Linked DNA regions of Drosophila melanogaster. The protein of the gene in region 1 interacts with the protein of each later gene in a pairwise test. Each region holds a gene or a part of one and is shown on either strand. Other genes may lie near its edges.

Region 1 (4,937 bases):
TACGCAAATTATACTAATCGTAGTACTTAAAAATTGCTTATTTTACCGTTTCTAACCCCATGTGATATTTTTCAAGATAATCATACTAGTGAGTACCATTTTAGCTTGTTTTATAACAAATATGCATATCTATTACTTAAATACGCATTTGCAGTGACAGAAAATAAAACTATTGCCTTGTCATTCCAGCGCGGAATTCGAGTTGTCACAAGTGCATAAAGGGCACCACTACAGCATTTTCTATTGCTGCGGCGAACGTGCGGATTAGAAGTTTTGGTTCTTCATCCAGCTTGATCCGCACGTCACAATCGAACCCAAGGAATTCAGATATTTTTAGCCTTTTGCGTGGGACTTCAATGGCACCTCTGCCCGTTGCTTTTGTGTGCCATGCCACCCAGTTGTGTGTGCAACATGCGCCCATCACATGTGAAGCCACCACATTGGATGGATTTCATTGCTGGCTTATTTCGAGGGAGAATCGTGGAGCCCACGGAGTGATCGGGCATGGATCGGAGGCACTTCGCCGGCGGTTGCCCCACTGCTGAGTCACGCCGGCGCAGCACTAAACTGGGCCCAAACCCAAACCGAAACCCAAATGCCAAGCGAAGAGCCAAATGAGTCAAAGAGTCAAAAGAGAGTGGGAACTGGTTTTTGAAGAGTTCCCCCACATTCGGCATTCGGCTATCGGCATTCCATTTTAGGCCGGTCCAAAGTCCGCAAGTCTGAGTACCTGCAACCGGTCACCAAGCCACCATGAATGGCCGATGAATGCCGCCCGAATCCTCACGTGCACCAGCATCACGCTGGAAAACGAGATATCTCGCGCCGGCGTGGAGGTCTCCAAGGTGCAATTTTGTATGCAGTGCGGCTATGCTGGGGGATTTCCCATTTGGCTGCGATTGGCTGCAGGGAAAACCCAGTTTCCAAAAGAGTTCTCTGCGAAAAACCCCCAATGCAGTGCAGTTTATTTTTTCGATGCGTGGTTTTTCCCACTCCAAACCAGATACCATAATGTATTCTCTTATTTATCGTGGGGCTTTTGGCAAGGGAGTTTCGGTTATCTGAGCGAGCAACGTTCTTTCCAAATAATTAGGTCTTGTCTCGCATTAAATAATATTGCGAAACATTTGGCAGCGCCTTTCGAATAATGGCGAAATGATTCAGCTGCTCGCTGGTGGGCAGATGTACATCACTTGCAGGGCTGAATTCTTTGCACGATGGTAAACTTGTTTTGAGAACCTGGTGAAATTAAAAAAAAAGGAGGGCAAACAAAGCTGAAACTGAAAGAAAGCCATAACATTTCCGCAAAATGTGTGTATTTCGTTATATATTCCAATTGTAAGGTTCTCTACTTTTTAAAGAGTTGTTACTAGAGCTCAGGTAATTTCAATGTATATGTTTACAGATACTTCGATTTTTATTTATTTACAAAGAAAATTTTTAAAATTTCTATCTGACATAACCGGTTCGATTTGTTCGCGCCGGATGACAGCTCTGTCAAGTTCTCTCTGGCTCTTTCGATTCCTAAGCTTTTACCCGATTAGTGCTTTTTTCGCCGGCAGAGCTTTTCTTGCACTCAATTATGCTTCTTCTTCCCTGTAAACAAAACACGCTCACAGCTGTTTCTTCCGCACTGAAGTGTTGGCAAACGTCTGAATATTACACGCAATATTTATGTAATACGCTAAACAATTAAGTCGCATAAATTATAAAATAGTCATTAGGGATAACTCGATGGCATTTGTGGAGCGCGACTTTGAGTCACCATAGTGCCGCCGCCAAGTACGATAGCCACAATCTGAGCGCCAGCGCAGTGCCAAAAGCTCTGTGTTGTTGAAAAACTCGACAAAGTCAAAAAAGTCGAAAAAGTCAAGCTGCTCTTTGTAGGCCGCTCGATACAAAGGTAAAAAGAAGTTGGCCCAAACAAATTGCCCGAAATGGGAAAAAACAAATCGAGCACGCTGGCGAGAGCGAGATAAAAACACCGGGACAAACCGGCCCGAGCGTTCAGTTCTGTGCCGGACGACAAAAGCGGCGGATCACTGTTGGATTTCATTTCATCCGGAGCACTTGCGAATAGAACGCGAAAGTCCCGAGCAAGCGTTAGTTTTTGCATACAATGGAGTACCTGAGCTACGTGTACGAAAAAATCTTCGGGGGCAATCCTCCCACGGATGACACGCAAGGGGCTTTCCACACGTGAGTATCAGCAGTAGCAGCTGAGGCGGAAAAACCCGGCAGAAAACACCTCTGACCATTGGGCTTTCCCACTTTCAGGCCCCGCAAGGTCATCTGCTTCGGCAACGTCCTGCTCGACCGACTAGTCCAGCTCGAGGATCCCCAACTCCTGGAGCGGTTCGGCCTGGAACTGGGCTCCAAGGGTGAACTGGACATGGAGAAACTCAACCAGCTGGCAGCGGAGGCTTCTGAGAGGTGAGTACCTTTGTATCTTGCCCGATTGTTTCATTATCTTCAATGACTGATTGTAAGAAATTGTACAATTGGACCCAAGTTATGGTTTTTAGTTAGACTGATTTTACATATAAGTAGTATAGTTAAGGTCTTGCAAGTATAATTAGTATCACCTTTCAAAGAAATTGTGAAAAGATACAAAGAATGAACAACAAATAGGACTGGGGCTACAAAGGCTGTTTATACATAGCACTTTTGTACACAACAATCAATCTTTACTTAAGAAGTTAAGAAGGGCCTTCTTTCTAATCTCTAATGACAGCAAAACTGGTTTTTATACCTGTACGAAATCGTCTTACGAAGTAGGAAATGGAAAATGGCAAAGTTACACGGTTATTCTAAAATTACAAGGGTTTAGTTAGTAACTACATACATACATAATAAACAACCTTTGCAAAGCTATACTTACTAATCCGAGTTCAATCCAATTCAGCTCTCGGTGCCTTACAAACCCGGGTGGCTCTGCCCTCAACACTGCCCGCATCCTGAAGCAGCTGGGCACAGACGCGCTCTTCTTTGGCGCCGTGGGAGCCGACAAGCACGCCGAGGAGCTGCGCCAGATCATTCGGGATCGCGGCATCGAGGCCAGGCTGCAGACCGTCGAGGATGCGCACACAGGGCAGTGCGTGTGCCTCATGTATCAGGACAACCCCACGCTGTACGCCAACATCGGCGCCTCGGCTCAGTTCGAGGTGCAGACCCTGAGCCACGCCGTCAGCCACGAAGGCCAGAGCTTCCTGCGACCGGTGGAGCGCAAGCAAATCCTGTACGTGGAGGGCTTCTTTGTGCCCCAGAGGAGTGATGTGTGCGATTACATAGTGCAGCACCTGGTGCGGGAGCGGCGACGCCTGGCTCTCAATCTCAGTGCACCCTACATTGTGAGGAAAAATCACCAGGCTATGATGAAGCTGGCCCGGGCCGCCTTCTTCCTGTTCGGAAACCGACAGGAGTTCGAGGCGCTGGCCGAGGCTGCGGGTGGGTTCCGAAACGTCGACGAACTGGCGGATCATCTCCTGCAATCCGGTGGCACCAAGGTCATCTTCGTCACCAACGGCAGTGCCGGCGTCCAGGTGATCACCAACTACGTGGAGGAGCTGGCTCCTCCCGGACCCGTAAGCTTTGAGGACTTCAGGGCGCAGCGCGTAGAGCAGCTGGTGGATGCCACTGGGGCCGGAGATGCTTTTGTGGCCGGATTCTTGCACGCCTGGCTGGAGAAGCGCTCGCTGGGCGAGTGCATCCGAATGGCCTCCAGCGTAGCCGCCAAGGTCGTCACCCAGGTGGGCTGCAATCTGCCCTAGACCGACGCCGTGCATCGCCACCTCAGATAGCGCACAACAAAGCACCAAAGTAGACTCTTAGCTTGTAATTATTCCGGTAATCTCCCCAAACCTTAGGCTTAGTCAAACATTTGTCCACCATTTCACCCAAGCAATGAACTTAGTCATAATGTGACTAAATAAAAATGATTTATACATCGTCCTATGAAAGATAATAATATTTCTGAGTGACTATATGTGACTACATTTTATAATATATATAGCGAGATTCCTATTGTATGCAATTTTTTAACATTTAAATATCTTTTGATAGTTCTATGTAAACAGATGTTGCTTTCTCAAAAGACAAAACAGATTTATCTAAAACCAGTACATATGTATCTATTTGTAGCACATTGCCATTAAGAATTTGCGTTGACCTTCAGAAGAGCGCAAAGATAAAAAGTGAAATAGGGTAAAATGTGCCCACGTCTAATCAAGCCATGCCATGAAATCACCGGAAGACTCTTTTTAATGGTTAAATATAGATTCGAGAGCATTGTTTTGCGCACAGTGGGTTGAATGCTTACAAATTATTAATTTCGCTGTAATACTTTCTTAGATATACCATTATTCATACTTCATTATTTGAGCAAACATAAGTAAATCATTTTTGACACAGGCCGTCGTTATTTAGGTATACCTTTATATGTAAAATCACGTATTAATTATTCATTAAGAAATGAGAGCATATATATAAAAAAGTAAGTACAGCTGGTGATTGTTCGACCTCGATAGCCTTATTAATACGACTGTGTTATTCACTCGATCGCCGAAGTTCCCACTGGACTGTGGCATTGTGTGAATCGTCATCCGAATCCGTTATCACACACTTAATTCCCCCTGAGATGCCCTAGTACACATCTTTATGCGCATTCCTCGAGATGCTTTATTATCCGCAAAGAAGCGATTCTCGTTTCATCCATCTTATATGGACCGCGTACATCCCACACAAGTCAGTCAATAAGTGACGACTTGGCCCAAAGAGAACTCGCATGCACAGATGCCATCAAAGCGAATTCCGCCTTTGTGCTGGCCGTGGGGTTTGGCTTGGGGTTTGGGCCACATGTTTGCGAATCGTTAACAAAAACTAAGCCGCATTTGGCATGCTTGTGTAAGCAGGCCAAGGCCTGGGCCTCTCCCAGCTGC
Region 2 (4,575 bases), on another chromosome or scaffold:
AATCCAGCCCATTCTGGTAAGGCCCCCTGGCCTTGATCTTAAACTTTCCCACGAGAAACAGACAGGTATTCGGTATTCACCTGATTTCTTGCTGCTGCCTTTGGATTTCCAGTTTTCTGCTCGACAGCAATTTCTATTATTATTCTTGCAGCTGCCGTTGATGTTGTTGTTGTTGTTGTTGTTCTCGTTGTTCTTCGCACCTTTTTTTCTGCAATGGGAAATTTGCATAAAATATTCAATCAACTTTCATTGTTCCAGGCGGCTGCCATTGCCGGGCTTCAATTTCGAGCACATAAAAAAAATGCAAACAAACAGAAAGCAAAACAAAGTTCTCCCTCTTTTTTTGGGTAGTTTCTCTTTGAGCCTACGCGATTAAACAAATTAGCACTGAAAACTTGTTGAAACAAATATGCCGCGAGCTTGACAAATTGACAAAGGAAGATTTACGCGTTTCAATGGATTCTTCTTTTCATCTCATCGAGCTTACACTTTCCCAAAAAACCAGAATGAAATCGCAGAGAGAGCGAGTTTTCGAAAACGCGTCCGATTGCCAGCGCCGTTTAAGTTCGACTGAGTTTGTGGCGCGTTGTTCGTGTGCTACGGAGGCCAGAAATCAGAAATCCAGCCGCCAATGCTGCGACCTCCAATCGGGCTGAAAAAGGGTTTTAGTCACGAAAGTTTTTCTTGAAACAATTAATCATTTATATCACTGATTAAAATTATTTTTTTTGTAATTTTTTCCTTAGTTTTTGAATTTTTAAAAGCAATTTTCTTGAAAAGCCTTTTAACCTTTTGGTTTTCAAGACATTCTGCTTTTGCCAGCCTGCACATTTTGAGCACCCGCTGCAATTTTACAGCTGCCAGCTTGTGTCAGTGTGCACAATTGGAGAGACTAAGTTTGCGTATTCAGTATTTTTTAGGTATATTGTAAACTACTTTTACAATATTGTTTAGAAACAAACTCTCTCATTTTCCTAGTTTCTATTCGGTCTACAATACAATTTCTTTAAAAAACAACATTAATACAATTACGATATCTGACCGGAACGGTGGAATATCGAACATGGGGCAGTTTTTTATTTATATATTCTTTTGTTATTTATAGGTGAATTCTAAACAATATAAATGCAAAAAATGTTAAAAAAAAAAAGATCTAACTATCTATGTTCGACCTAAGTTTAGAGAAAAATCGACTCCCCACTCTTTGGGGTATATCTCCACTCGTAGGACATTTCTTTAAGGACATTTCAGGAAAAATGTAGTTGCCATAAAAAATGTTTACCTAGTTTTTGAGATAATGGCACTCATATCATTATTATTATGGACTCATATTAAATACCATTCTTATTTTTAACAAATTTTATTCTTGTTCAAATGTACTTTTAGAGGCTCAAGTTTGAATAAAGTTGTTGAAGTGAAATGGCGCAAAGTAAGACCCTTTCATCCAGCAGTATTATTTGTTCGGTATTTTTGCTGGTATTTTCGGTTCGAATGTTTTTGGAAATGGAAAAGCAGAGCAGAGCTAAATTGCAATCAGATCTCGACGCGACGGCGGTGAAGAAGCATCAGTAAAAGCGCGCGGAAAGTGTATGTTTCAAAACTCCGCTCAGAAAACCATATTTGTTATTGTAAATAATATTCCCTTAGAAGTTTGGAATATTTCCCGCGACAATTTTTTTTTCGGTGAAATTTCATACCGTTTTGCCACAAAAAAAAAAGAGGAAACCAAAACAACGGAAATAGTTAATAACAAAGTGCGTGAGCCTTTTTTTTATTATTATTTTTCGTGTGTGTAAGAGCGGTGATTTGGCGCTGTGTGTGTGTGTGTGAGTGTATTGTGCATCTCACTGTTACTTGTGGTCGTGTAGGTCAAGGTGAAGCAGCTGCACCGTTAGTTTTCCACCCATTGACTATGCAGTTTTCAATCGCAAATGCATTTGATATTATGCATATGTGTGTGCAGAAACCCTAAAAAGTCAATATTGCAGTTAGTAGCTCTCTTTCGCACTGCCCACCCTGCCTGCCTCCCAACCACCCTCCCTCCCGCTCGCACCTCATCGAGTGAGATAAGCACTAGATAAGCATGTGTACGTAAGTTACTGTTAAGCTTAACCCTTAGTGAACAACAAACTTGCACGCAAATGAAATGTGAGGTTTAAAAATATATAGAACACAATTAAACAAAAATATGAAACAGTAATTAAAGTGTGGGAGTTAATCCCCCCAAAAATCGCAACTATAACCGATTAATATGCGCTAATAAAACTAAATATATATATTTTCAGTACTTACCTATGTTATAAATTAGTTGCCCATTTTATATTAACTTTTAGTGTCAATTTAATGTGGCAGCACTAGCAGCTGGCAACGTGCAGCAGTAACAACAAAAACATAAAACAACACCGGATTGTGCAACCTGCAACTTGCAACACAAGCGGCAAAACGGCGTTTCTACCGCAGCGTCGCCTCTTCGGCGGCGGCAATGTGCCCCCCTCGGCGACCATGAAGCATCAGCCGCCGCCCCCGCCACTCCCGCTCAGCCAACCGCCCACGATGGGCGCTACAGCGGCGGGGGGCGTGGCCAGCGTCATAAGCACGATGAACGGCAGCAGCAGCAGTGGCATTGAGGCGGTTAAATGCCGACCACCCATTTACCCCAAACGTAAGTAAAAGCCTCTTTCCATGCTGCACACAAATTTGTAAAAAAAAAAAAAAAAAAAAAAATCAGAAAAGAAGCAGACGAAAACATCAAGGGGTTGATGAAGCAGTTTACAAAGGGGTTCACCGTTGTATTGTATTGTATTGGTATTGGCACTACTTACTTCTAATGCGTAAAACGCATTCCCAGAAAACTCTGGTATTCTCATAATTTGACTGAAAAAAGACAATACTGAACACAGTAAAATTCCTGGAAATATGAACGTAATGAAATGATGTAATGTTTGTGAGATTTTCGAAATCATCAATCAACGAAAGATAAAACAGATCACCACCATTTTCGCTCGGTTAAGCTTTTATTTGGAATTATTAATTAATTTCTTAGTAACTCATATCTATGATGCATAGCTAAACGAAGCCTACATCATAACATGGCTCAAGTTATCATACCAAATTGATAACGAGAACGACCTTTAAAGATAAGCGGTTGATTAGCTACAGGCCCAGTTAACCGAATGACATTAGTTTAAAGAATGTTAGGAATATTATAATATTAACATTTAGGCACAACTCCACATCTTGGCTTACAGTGCATTTGGGTTCCCTTTTTTCCACGGGCCAATTGCATTTGGCTGGATCGATCTTATCTGGTATTTGGCATTCGGTATCTGGTAACTGGGATCTGGAATATGGGATCTCGATAGGCTGCCCCATTACGTGGGGCCCACTTCGCTGCTTTTCCGCCGACAAGAAAATTGACTGGCCACCGTAACTACGTATGTATATGTACAAATATATATGTATGTATATATGTACATACTGTATGTATTTTCCGATGGTTTTGGTTTCGGTTTTGGAGGAAAGTCGACGGCGGCGGCTTCCTTTCCTTTTTGCCCACTTCACTTTGTTTTGGCTTCGCTTTCGCCTTGGATTTTTTTCATCAACTTTTTCTTGGCTTTTCGACTGGGGAGTTTGGACTGAGTTGGTTGTTGGTTGCGACTGCCGTATTTGGTAGGCGTAGACTGTGTTTTTATTTTATTATTATTTTTTTTTTTTTTTTTGCCCCATGTTTTCTATTTTGTTCCTACTTCTCAGCTTGTGTAGTGTGGCCGCACCCAAAACCACCCAGCACAATCCCAATTGCAGATCGGTCTGGGCCTTGGGTCTTTGGCTCTTTGGTCTTGGCCATTTGGCTACTTGGCATTGGCCTTAACTTGGTAACTTGGTTACTTCGGTGGGCAACGTGACCGCAGCTAACGGTTCTCCTGGTTGACATGTCGTTAGTGGCCGATGAACATTTGTGTCGCCGATATCGGGCTACGGCCCTCCTAACTTGGCCGAACGACCTATTGGAATCTATGTTTACTATGCTACACCGCAAGAAAACGAGGTCAATTATAAGCTTTTCAATTGTATTTGATGTCTATCTCAATAACTTCTCAATGGTCATATTTTTGATTAAAATTAAAAGAACACAGTAACGTCTTAAAGTAAAAGATTACATTGATCCCAAGATGTTATCATCATACTTATTATTATATTATTAATCACTTATGTTCTAAGACATTTATGACTCAGTAAGATTTGTTAATATCCATTAAATTCAATTGGAATATATTCCCAGCCGGTTCATATGGAGTGTAATATTTTTATATGCATTTATTAATCGATTCACAATTTGGTGAGCAATAGTTTTTCTCACTTCATTCAGCTAGCAATGACTAGCAAACACATGTTTACATACAGACATCTAGAATAAAACGTGATAAGATAAACGCAATATTTATAAATTTTCACTGAGCTCACCTCAACTGGTGTTTTATTTTGTTAGTGGATTATACAGTGTTTACTAGCCAATTATAGCAAGTAAGCCAGTTTGAAAATATTGGCATATTATGGATATATAATGGATACAAT
Region 3 (7,662 bases), on another chromosome or scaffold:
TATGAATTACAAGCTCTCGACTGCGAGCTCGATCATACTGAATATGTTTGGCACATTTGGTTAATACTATTCTTCTGCACAGCGTGAAACAGCGGCGTGCTGCGGATGACGCCCGACAGCTCCTTGGAGTTCTTGCTTTGGTGATAGTTTCTACTCGGCATCGGCGACAACGGTTCGCCCCAGAACTTGAGCAGCGCAAAGATCTTGTAGTAGGCCACTCTGAAATAGAAGATAGATTCGCTATTAGCAGCTAAACCCGATAGCAGCCAAAACTGCCAGCAAACTTACCTGTAGTTGCGATTGCTGGCCGCATAGATGATCGGGTTAATGACACTGGAAGCCCAGGCCATCACGGAGGCGATGATGTGCAGCCAGGGGTACGAGGTATTGCGCTCGTCGTCCACCACATTGGCCAGCATTAGCGGCAGGAAGCAGACGAGGAAGCACAGAAAGATGGTGACCATCATGACGGTCAGTCGATTGTCTTCGCGCGCCTTGCGCGTGCATGTGGTGGTCATGTAGGATCCGCCGCCGGACGACGAGGAGCCCTTGGCCGCTGCGATCTGGAAGTTATCGTGGTTGCGAATCTTCTTTTTCTGGTGCAGCACCGTAATGTAGATGCACGAGTACGAAACGATGATCACCAGGCAAGGCAGCAGGAAGCCGATCACGAACAGCGTCTTCTTGATCGATCGCCCCTCCTTCTTGAGTATTGTGCAGGAGAAGGTGGCCTCGTCCAGGCCCATCTCGCCCCAGATGCCCAATATGGGCGGCAGCTGGGAAGATAAAAACCGATTAGTTGAATGTGTGCACACAAATCGAAGACGCCTTACTTACCAACAGCAGAAAGGAGACGGCCCAAACGAACAACAGCTGCAGGGTTATGAACTTAGGCTTATATATCTGCGAGTAGCGGCTGTGGCAAGCGATGAGTATATATCTGCCAGGGGATTAGGGTGACGGTTGCGGATTAGCTTGCGACAATGCGGACTAGACTTGGGCCTACCTGTTCAGGGTGATGCCCACCATGCTGAGGAGTGAAACAGCCACATTGCCATAGAAGATCACCGGAAAGATCTTGCACAATGTGGTACCAAAAGTCCAGCTCTGTCGTTGGAATCGAGCAAATTATAATCATTCACTAATTGTATATTACATTCACAGGTATAATGACTCACCTCCTGGAAGAATCGCACTGCGGTCAGTGGCAGGCTGAAGGAGCAGAAGAGCAGGTCGGAGATGCTTAGCGAAATGACGAAGGCGGTTGTGGCATGCTCCCGTATCGTGGGGCTCTTGAGCAGCGCCAGCAGGGTAATCAGGTTGCCTGTGCGGCAATTCAGCATAGAGAAACAGGTTAGCTAATCGAGGAGCTGAATGTGGGATGCCAATTACTCACCAAGAACGCCGATCGTCACAAAGACACAGGCACTAATGGCCGCGAATAATGTCGCCGAATGCGGGTAGATCGATTGCGTGGCGGCCGCCGGTTCATCCATCTGCATGTCTGCGTCCTGAAAGTAGCCCGTTGCCATGCCCATGTCCTGATCCATTCTGCGGGGGAAACAAGCAAACGATGTGATTAGCCAATTTCAATTACTTATTTTTGAACAGGAAAAGGAGCTGTATCTTTTAAATTGGTTGCATTCAAATCGCTTATGCTAATCCTATTGTTTTTTTTTTTTTAATTTGTTAGCCCGTATCATGAGTAATTAAAAAGGAAGTTAATAGCCGGATGTAGACAACTCAATATGCATCCGCTTGGTTATTTGAAAACAATTAACTTATGAAGAGAAATGAATGAAATTACCATTCCTAATTGCCCAGAAGCATGATGCTTTTGTTAAGAAGGGATTGTTAAGAATTTAACTATCTAAACGAACTAATGTGTACATTTCTGTGCTCCGCGATAAAGGAAATGTAATCAGCAAAATCAAGTTTCAGGCGCGTGGAAAATCTGTGAATGAATGAACGTACGAGTAATACAAAAAGATAACTAATCACCGCTTTGCGGATGCAATAGCCCAGTTTTGTCGTCGGTGACACCGAGTAAAAACCCGATCCGATCGACGGGATTAGCGAGGAAGTCTGCGTACTCCCACCAGCTTATCGCATCCGAGACATTTGATTTATGTAAACGGATTTTGTTATAAGATTTCTGCCGAGCCAAGCTGGCCAACTGGCGAATCGTAATGATCGAGCCGGTTTGCACGCCATTTGAATTCACATTTGTACGAATTTTTTTTTTATCAAAAGTTCGAGTTTTTCACCAATTTCCTCATCAACCGAGCAAGGCAAACGGCTTTGAATAATATGGTGTTATATATACATATATCAAATCGCTGCTGACTGCGTGATTGATGGCCCCAAGATTACATATTATCGAATCAGGATTCAGAAGGAGATCAATGTCAAATGCGGACAGGAACATGAGAGACGCCTGTTATGCGCAATTAAAAATTTGGGTTTAATTGCTGTGGAAACTGTTGTTGGTGGCATCTTAAGTTCCTGTTTAACAACATCAACTACTTATGTACGTAGAAGCGTTTAAGCCATTTGCATACAGATGAGAACTGGCTTTTGTGCTAATCAGCCAAGATGACTCCGATGATGATGACTCATTACCTGACCAGTTTTCGCTGCTTTCTTTTCAACAACTACTTGTATATGTATTGTATCCAATAGCAATACATTGGATTTCCATGGTCTAGTCACGTATTATCATTTAATTGACGCCAAGTCGTGTTATTGTTGAGCTATCGAGTTCAGCTCAAACATTTCTTATTCCCATGAATAAGCCGGCAAAAATATGCAATCTATGAAAGTTAATATAAGCAAACCTTACTTTGACTCAATACCAATGCACTTTGTGTCGATAGGTTCACGCAATTGAGGCGATTATTCCGATAACCCAAGCGATTGACTGTTCCCGTTTCGATTCCAATTGAAATTTGGAAATGTACAATAGTTTTGCTATATGCTGTCAAGTACGCTCTTATCTTCTCTGGGTTTTCTTCAGAGTTTCGAAACGCTTCTTCTTTTTTTTGTTTTTTTTTTTTTGGAATCTCGTATTTTGGAAGGGGCTCCCCTCTGGAATTTGTTACACTGTCGTTATCATTGCGAACAAGCGGCCCGAAGCTATCAGCGACTTTAACATTTACAATGCACTTTTTTACGACCAATTAAATGTACATTTTCCTTTCTTCGCCCGTTGATAAGCGAACGCGATGTGGCGCAGGCAATGTGTTGCTCTTGCGACACAAACGCAATCAAAATGGATTCAATTTCGCTTTTTCCCAGTGAAACGAAGAACGAACCGACCATCATGATATGCTGCTCTGCATGTTGCGTATTGAATCAATGACAATTTCAATTAAGCCGCCCGTTCGTCATGCGTTTTCGTGGGCTTCGAAATGCTGATAACGCTGCTGTCCTCCAACTGCTTTGCATGTGGACACAATTCCATTTATTTAATTCTTTTATTTGGATCGGTTAAATTAAAAAGCGCCTTGTTACGCATTTAACGTTGTTTCCGGTGCGTGGTGGTTTCATGCTTCTGGGAACGGCAAATGGGTTTAGGATTGGGAACCCCTCATCATCCGTCCAAATATGGGGAGTTCAAGGAATGGAGGGGGGAGGGGGGGAGGGGGCGGAGCAGCGGTCCGCTTTCATGCATGATCAACATGTGTGTTTGTTTTCCAACTCTATGTGAGTTGTTTCAGTTCTTTTCGGTCTCCTCGGTTCTACTCAGTTCGTTCTTACTTTCTGGCTTTTGTTTCCGAATAGGGGGAGCGCATCGGGCCGCAACTGGAAATGGAAATCTGAATATGCATCCCGGAGCATCCCGTCCGAAATGAGCACCATGCGCCATGCCGTTTCGTTTAATTCCCTACCCATAAATGCGTGTCCAAACAGCAGAGGGCATTTCAAGAGGTCCAACTATTAGCTATGTGCATATATAATTCTCTAGATATATTAATTCAGCTAAAGTGCTAACCGCGAGTGTGCCGCCAGTTGCCCCTCAACAGTTTGCAACGATGATGATGGCACAGATATCAGAGATAACACTCAGATCGCGCCCCTCACAAGTATGCTCATTATGTACATTCATATGTACATATGTACACACAGCTAAGCACATAAGGAATACGATATGCGCTATGTACATATATACATATTTACATCAAAGTCTTATCAGCCTCGGGTTCCCACCGTCCAAAAAAAAAGGCGGAACGAAGCTTTATAAATAATCAATCAACAAATATTTACAATCAAGTATTTATGTAGCGGGCGGAAAGTCGAATGCAAATAAGGTTAGACGCATTTGTACATATGTATTTTCTTAAAGGGTTCCTCTGATCAATATCTGCCCGTTTTTATCTAGCCCCGTTTATAAGGCTGTGAATGCCCCGATTGTGTTGGTCGTGATATCAATTAAATCGGCATAATCTCATGTCATCTTTTTAAACATTATGATAGATAAAATGTATTATAACGACTCTAATTACATTGGGATTAAATGGGTTTTCGGAAAATACCTATGCAGTAAATCAAATTTAAGATCAATGTGCAGTTATTTGGGGTTTCTTGAGTTAGGACCTCTGTTTTAATATTGAGAATTACTCGATATTATCTTCCGTTTTATTTTATTTTCTGATCGTGTCGGTGCACGAGAAATACATATTTCCCACTTTTGTTGCATTTCGCTGACTAATCGAAAGCTAAATACCAAATAAGTTTCCGATATGGGGGGTATGTATGTACATACATACATATATAGTACGAGTATATATAATATACACTGAATAAGCCCGAGCATACATATGTACATATGTAGATAGTGCACATGTGTATTGTGGATCGTTTTGGAGCTGGGTTTTTCTTTGCTTTTCGTCGTTTTTAAGAGACTTGAGCTGAATGAGTCGCTACCAACTGTTGCGGTGGGTTAAAGGGTGGGGGGAGGGGGCGAATGGGGATGGGGGATGAAGATGATGATTCATGCAGCTGATGTTTGGACAGGGAAGAAAGAAAGAGCGAAAGAGAAAGCAAATCGGAAGCGGCGGTATCAAACAATCTGTTTAAATAACAACAAAAGACTTTATAAGCCTGACTTTCATTTCCATTTCCAATTTATTTTTCCCAAGTCTGGCTCATTTTGTGCAAATAAACAAATGACTCATTTGTTTAAAAATTCGATGAGACTCAAGGAATGTCACATTCACAAAAATTTTCAATTTGAAATCTGAAAAGATTCAACAGCATAAGCAAATGAATTTAAGATTGCGATATTTGGGTATTATCCTTAATTGGCTGGCTGCCTAATGTAGATTTGTTTTTCTCGGTGTACCGATGCATCCTCTTTGCCCATCCACTTCTTTCTCCCCTCTTTGCTGATTTTTTTTTTTTTTGTTTTGTGAGAGGGTGGAATTCGGGATTTGGGATGTGAGCGAGAAGGATGGCCATATTTTGAATTGTGGAAACAGCCGTTCCATTATCGTTCCATTACAAATGCACACACACACACACACACACGCGCGCGTGCAGTTTGCGCTTCTCTGTGTGTGCGTTTGGACCAAATGCAATAACAATAAAAACGCGCAACTCAAATTGTTAACAAAGGTAAGGCCGTTTTTTTGGCCGGATTTGGATTCTGGTCTTGAAAGAGAAACACACACACACACACACGCACGCAAAAAACCAACGAAAATAATAACAAAACAACAACTCACCCGAACTCGAACCCGTTTCACTGTTTTCCGCTTATTATAAATTTATACTTCGTTTGGCGTTTCTTAAATGCTTTCGAATTGCATTTTGGATTTGACATTAAATCGCTCCGCGCAGCACAGTAACAAAAATAAACGGAACAAAATAAATACAACCAGCCGATTCTGGCCTTCTCACAATTCCGACTTTTGAATTATCGAAACAGAAGCGCTGCTTGGGCCAACTAAGCCAACTTAACTAACCGATCGCAGAGCGCAAAGTGTCGTATTTTCACTGTCGTCAATTAACAACAGCGGCAACAAGAACAACAAACGAAATGAGCGGCTGGGCTACAGTTTTTTAGTCCGAGCGCGATCGAACATGTTGGCTGCCTGGCAACAAGTTCGATGCGAACTTTTCTATTGATCTAAGAAATCGGCGTTCTATCGATTGACGCGCTGCGCAGGCGCCTATCGATTTTTGAAATTCTAAGCCCGCCTTAAAGGATATTTGTAGAAAAGTAGCTTGCAAAGAAATTAAATTCCTTGAAATAAAAAAGAAATTTAGTACTCTCGTTCTATACTCACTTCTATTCACTTGCGGTTAGTTAGTTAGTTTTTAATGCCACATTTTTATGATGATGACTTTTTTTCAGCTCATCTATGCGCAATCAATTTTGCGCCAAGCGACAGCTGCACATAGTTTCTTTTGACCAAGCAATCATTTATCATATAATTTTCCAAGTAGTAGTGCCAAGTTCATAACTGATGGAGTGTGCTGCCAATTTGCATGTTGTGGAGCCATTCAGTTTCAAGGTCGCGCTAATTAAATACTCGTTACAAGTGATGCCAAATGTATAAATATTTGAACAGAACGTATTAAATTAATATTATCCACTAAGAGCACTATTTTAAATTCTTAAAAACCAGATGCACGTCAAATAGATGTACATAAAAAGTATATTTACTTACAAATATCATACACGGACCTGTTTTATTCCTCATCACTGGCCATTAGTTGATAACATGTGGACTTCTATGATATCCTGCTGCATTTTTGCCGTTTAGTCAGGATTTAGAGCTTGTACACAATGCGACAGCTGAAAGGGCGAAATCGGTGCAATCGTGCTGTTCGGCATCTGAAAGTTCAGGGCAAGATGTGGTTGAAAAATCTTAAAAGCGGTTTGGAACAAATTCGAGGTGAATCTATCCAAATCGTTAGAATCCCATGAGTACGTTCATCTTAATTACCTTTTACAATCCAGAAAGCCAGGTGCGGGGAACGCGAAAGAACTTCCTACACGATGGCTCCTTCCATGAGGCAGTTGCTCCAGTTCTGGCGGTGGCCCAGTGCTTTTGCCTAATGCCCGTGTGTGGAATCAGTGCTCCAACGTACAGGGGATTAAGCTTCAATCGGCGCAGCTGGCGATTCTGGTACAGCTCCTTGTACCTCTGCTCCACGTCGGTGGATCTGGCCTTCAGCATTCGCCGTGTGGCCCACAGTGTGCTGGATGTGCGCAGTGTGGGTGAGATTAAATGATGCTTTTCTTCGCAACATACCAATTGCATATGTTAATTACCATTTAGAGCCCATCGTTTTTCACGTTAGCATCCTGATCGCCTCCTGGCAGTTCCTGAACCTGGCCCAACTCTGGCCTGGATTGATGCGCCACTGGGCGGCGGTGGAGCGACGGCTACCGGGCTACACCTGTTGCCTGCAACGTGCTCGTCCTGCCCGTCGCCTCAAGTTGGTGGCCTTCGTGCTGCTGGTAGTTTCACTGAGTTGGGTCACCAAATTTGTTTGGGTTTGGATTTCGCTGAGTATAACCGGGCGTGCTTTTTTTTCCAGTGGAACACCTGCTGAGCATCATTTCGGTGGTTTACTACGACTTCTGCCCACGAAGAAGCGATCCCGTGGAATCCTATTTGCTTGGCGCCAGTGCCCAGTTATTCGAAGTGT

What was found.
Region 2: the proteins of Adk3 (region 1) and Septin4 interact in a two-hybrid assay, tested with the Drosophila melanogaster proteins (one large-scale study listed by BioGRID).
Region 3: the proteins of Adk3 (region 1) and Tre1 interact in a two-hybrid assay, tested with the Drosophila melanogaster proteins (one large-scale study listed by BioGRID).

What each region holds. Positions count from the first base shown.
Region 1 is NT_033778.4:7,242,484-7,247,420, reverse strand, and holds Adk3 (adenosine kinase 3), read left to right. Parts: upstream 1-1,644; 5' UTR 1,645-2,119; coding exon 2,120-2,199; intron 2,200-2,277; coding exon 2,278-2,433; intron 2,434-2,905; coding exon 2,906-3,770; 3' UTR 3,771-4,397; downstream 4,398-4,937.
Region 2 is NC_004354.4:16,692,130-16,696,704, reverse strand, and holds the start of Septin4 (septin 4), read left to right. Parts: upstream 1-1,531; 5' UTR 1,532-1,587; exon of another isoform or gene 1,588-2,091; intron 2,092-2,285; exon of another isoform or gene 2,286-2,333; 5' UTR 2,334-2,502; coding exon 2,503-2,662; intron 2,663-4,575.
Region 3 is NC_004354.4:5,673,934-5,681,595, forward strand, and holds the start of Tre1 (trapped in endoderm 1), read right to left. Parts: upstream 6,045-7,662; 5' UTR 5,727-6,044; intron 3,026-5,726; exon of another isoform or gene 2,843-3,025; intron 1,552-2,842; 5' UTR 1,551-1,551; coding exon 1,397-1,550; intron 1,325-1,396; coding exon 1,179-1,324; intron 1,108-1,178; coding exon 1,007-1,107; intron 941-1,006; coding exon 838-940; intron 777-837; coding exon 289-776; intron 241-288; coding exon 33-240; 3' UTR 1-32. Other genes in the region: Gr5a (gustatory receptor 5a), read left to right, coding at 6,794-6,902, 6,968-7,228, 7,290-7,484, 7,552-7,662. UniProt on the Drosophila melanogaster protein: Essential for the first active step of germ cell migration: transepithelial migration of germ cells through the posterior midgut (PMG) epithelium.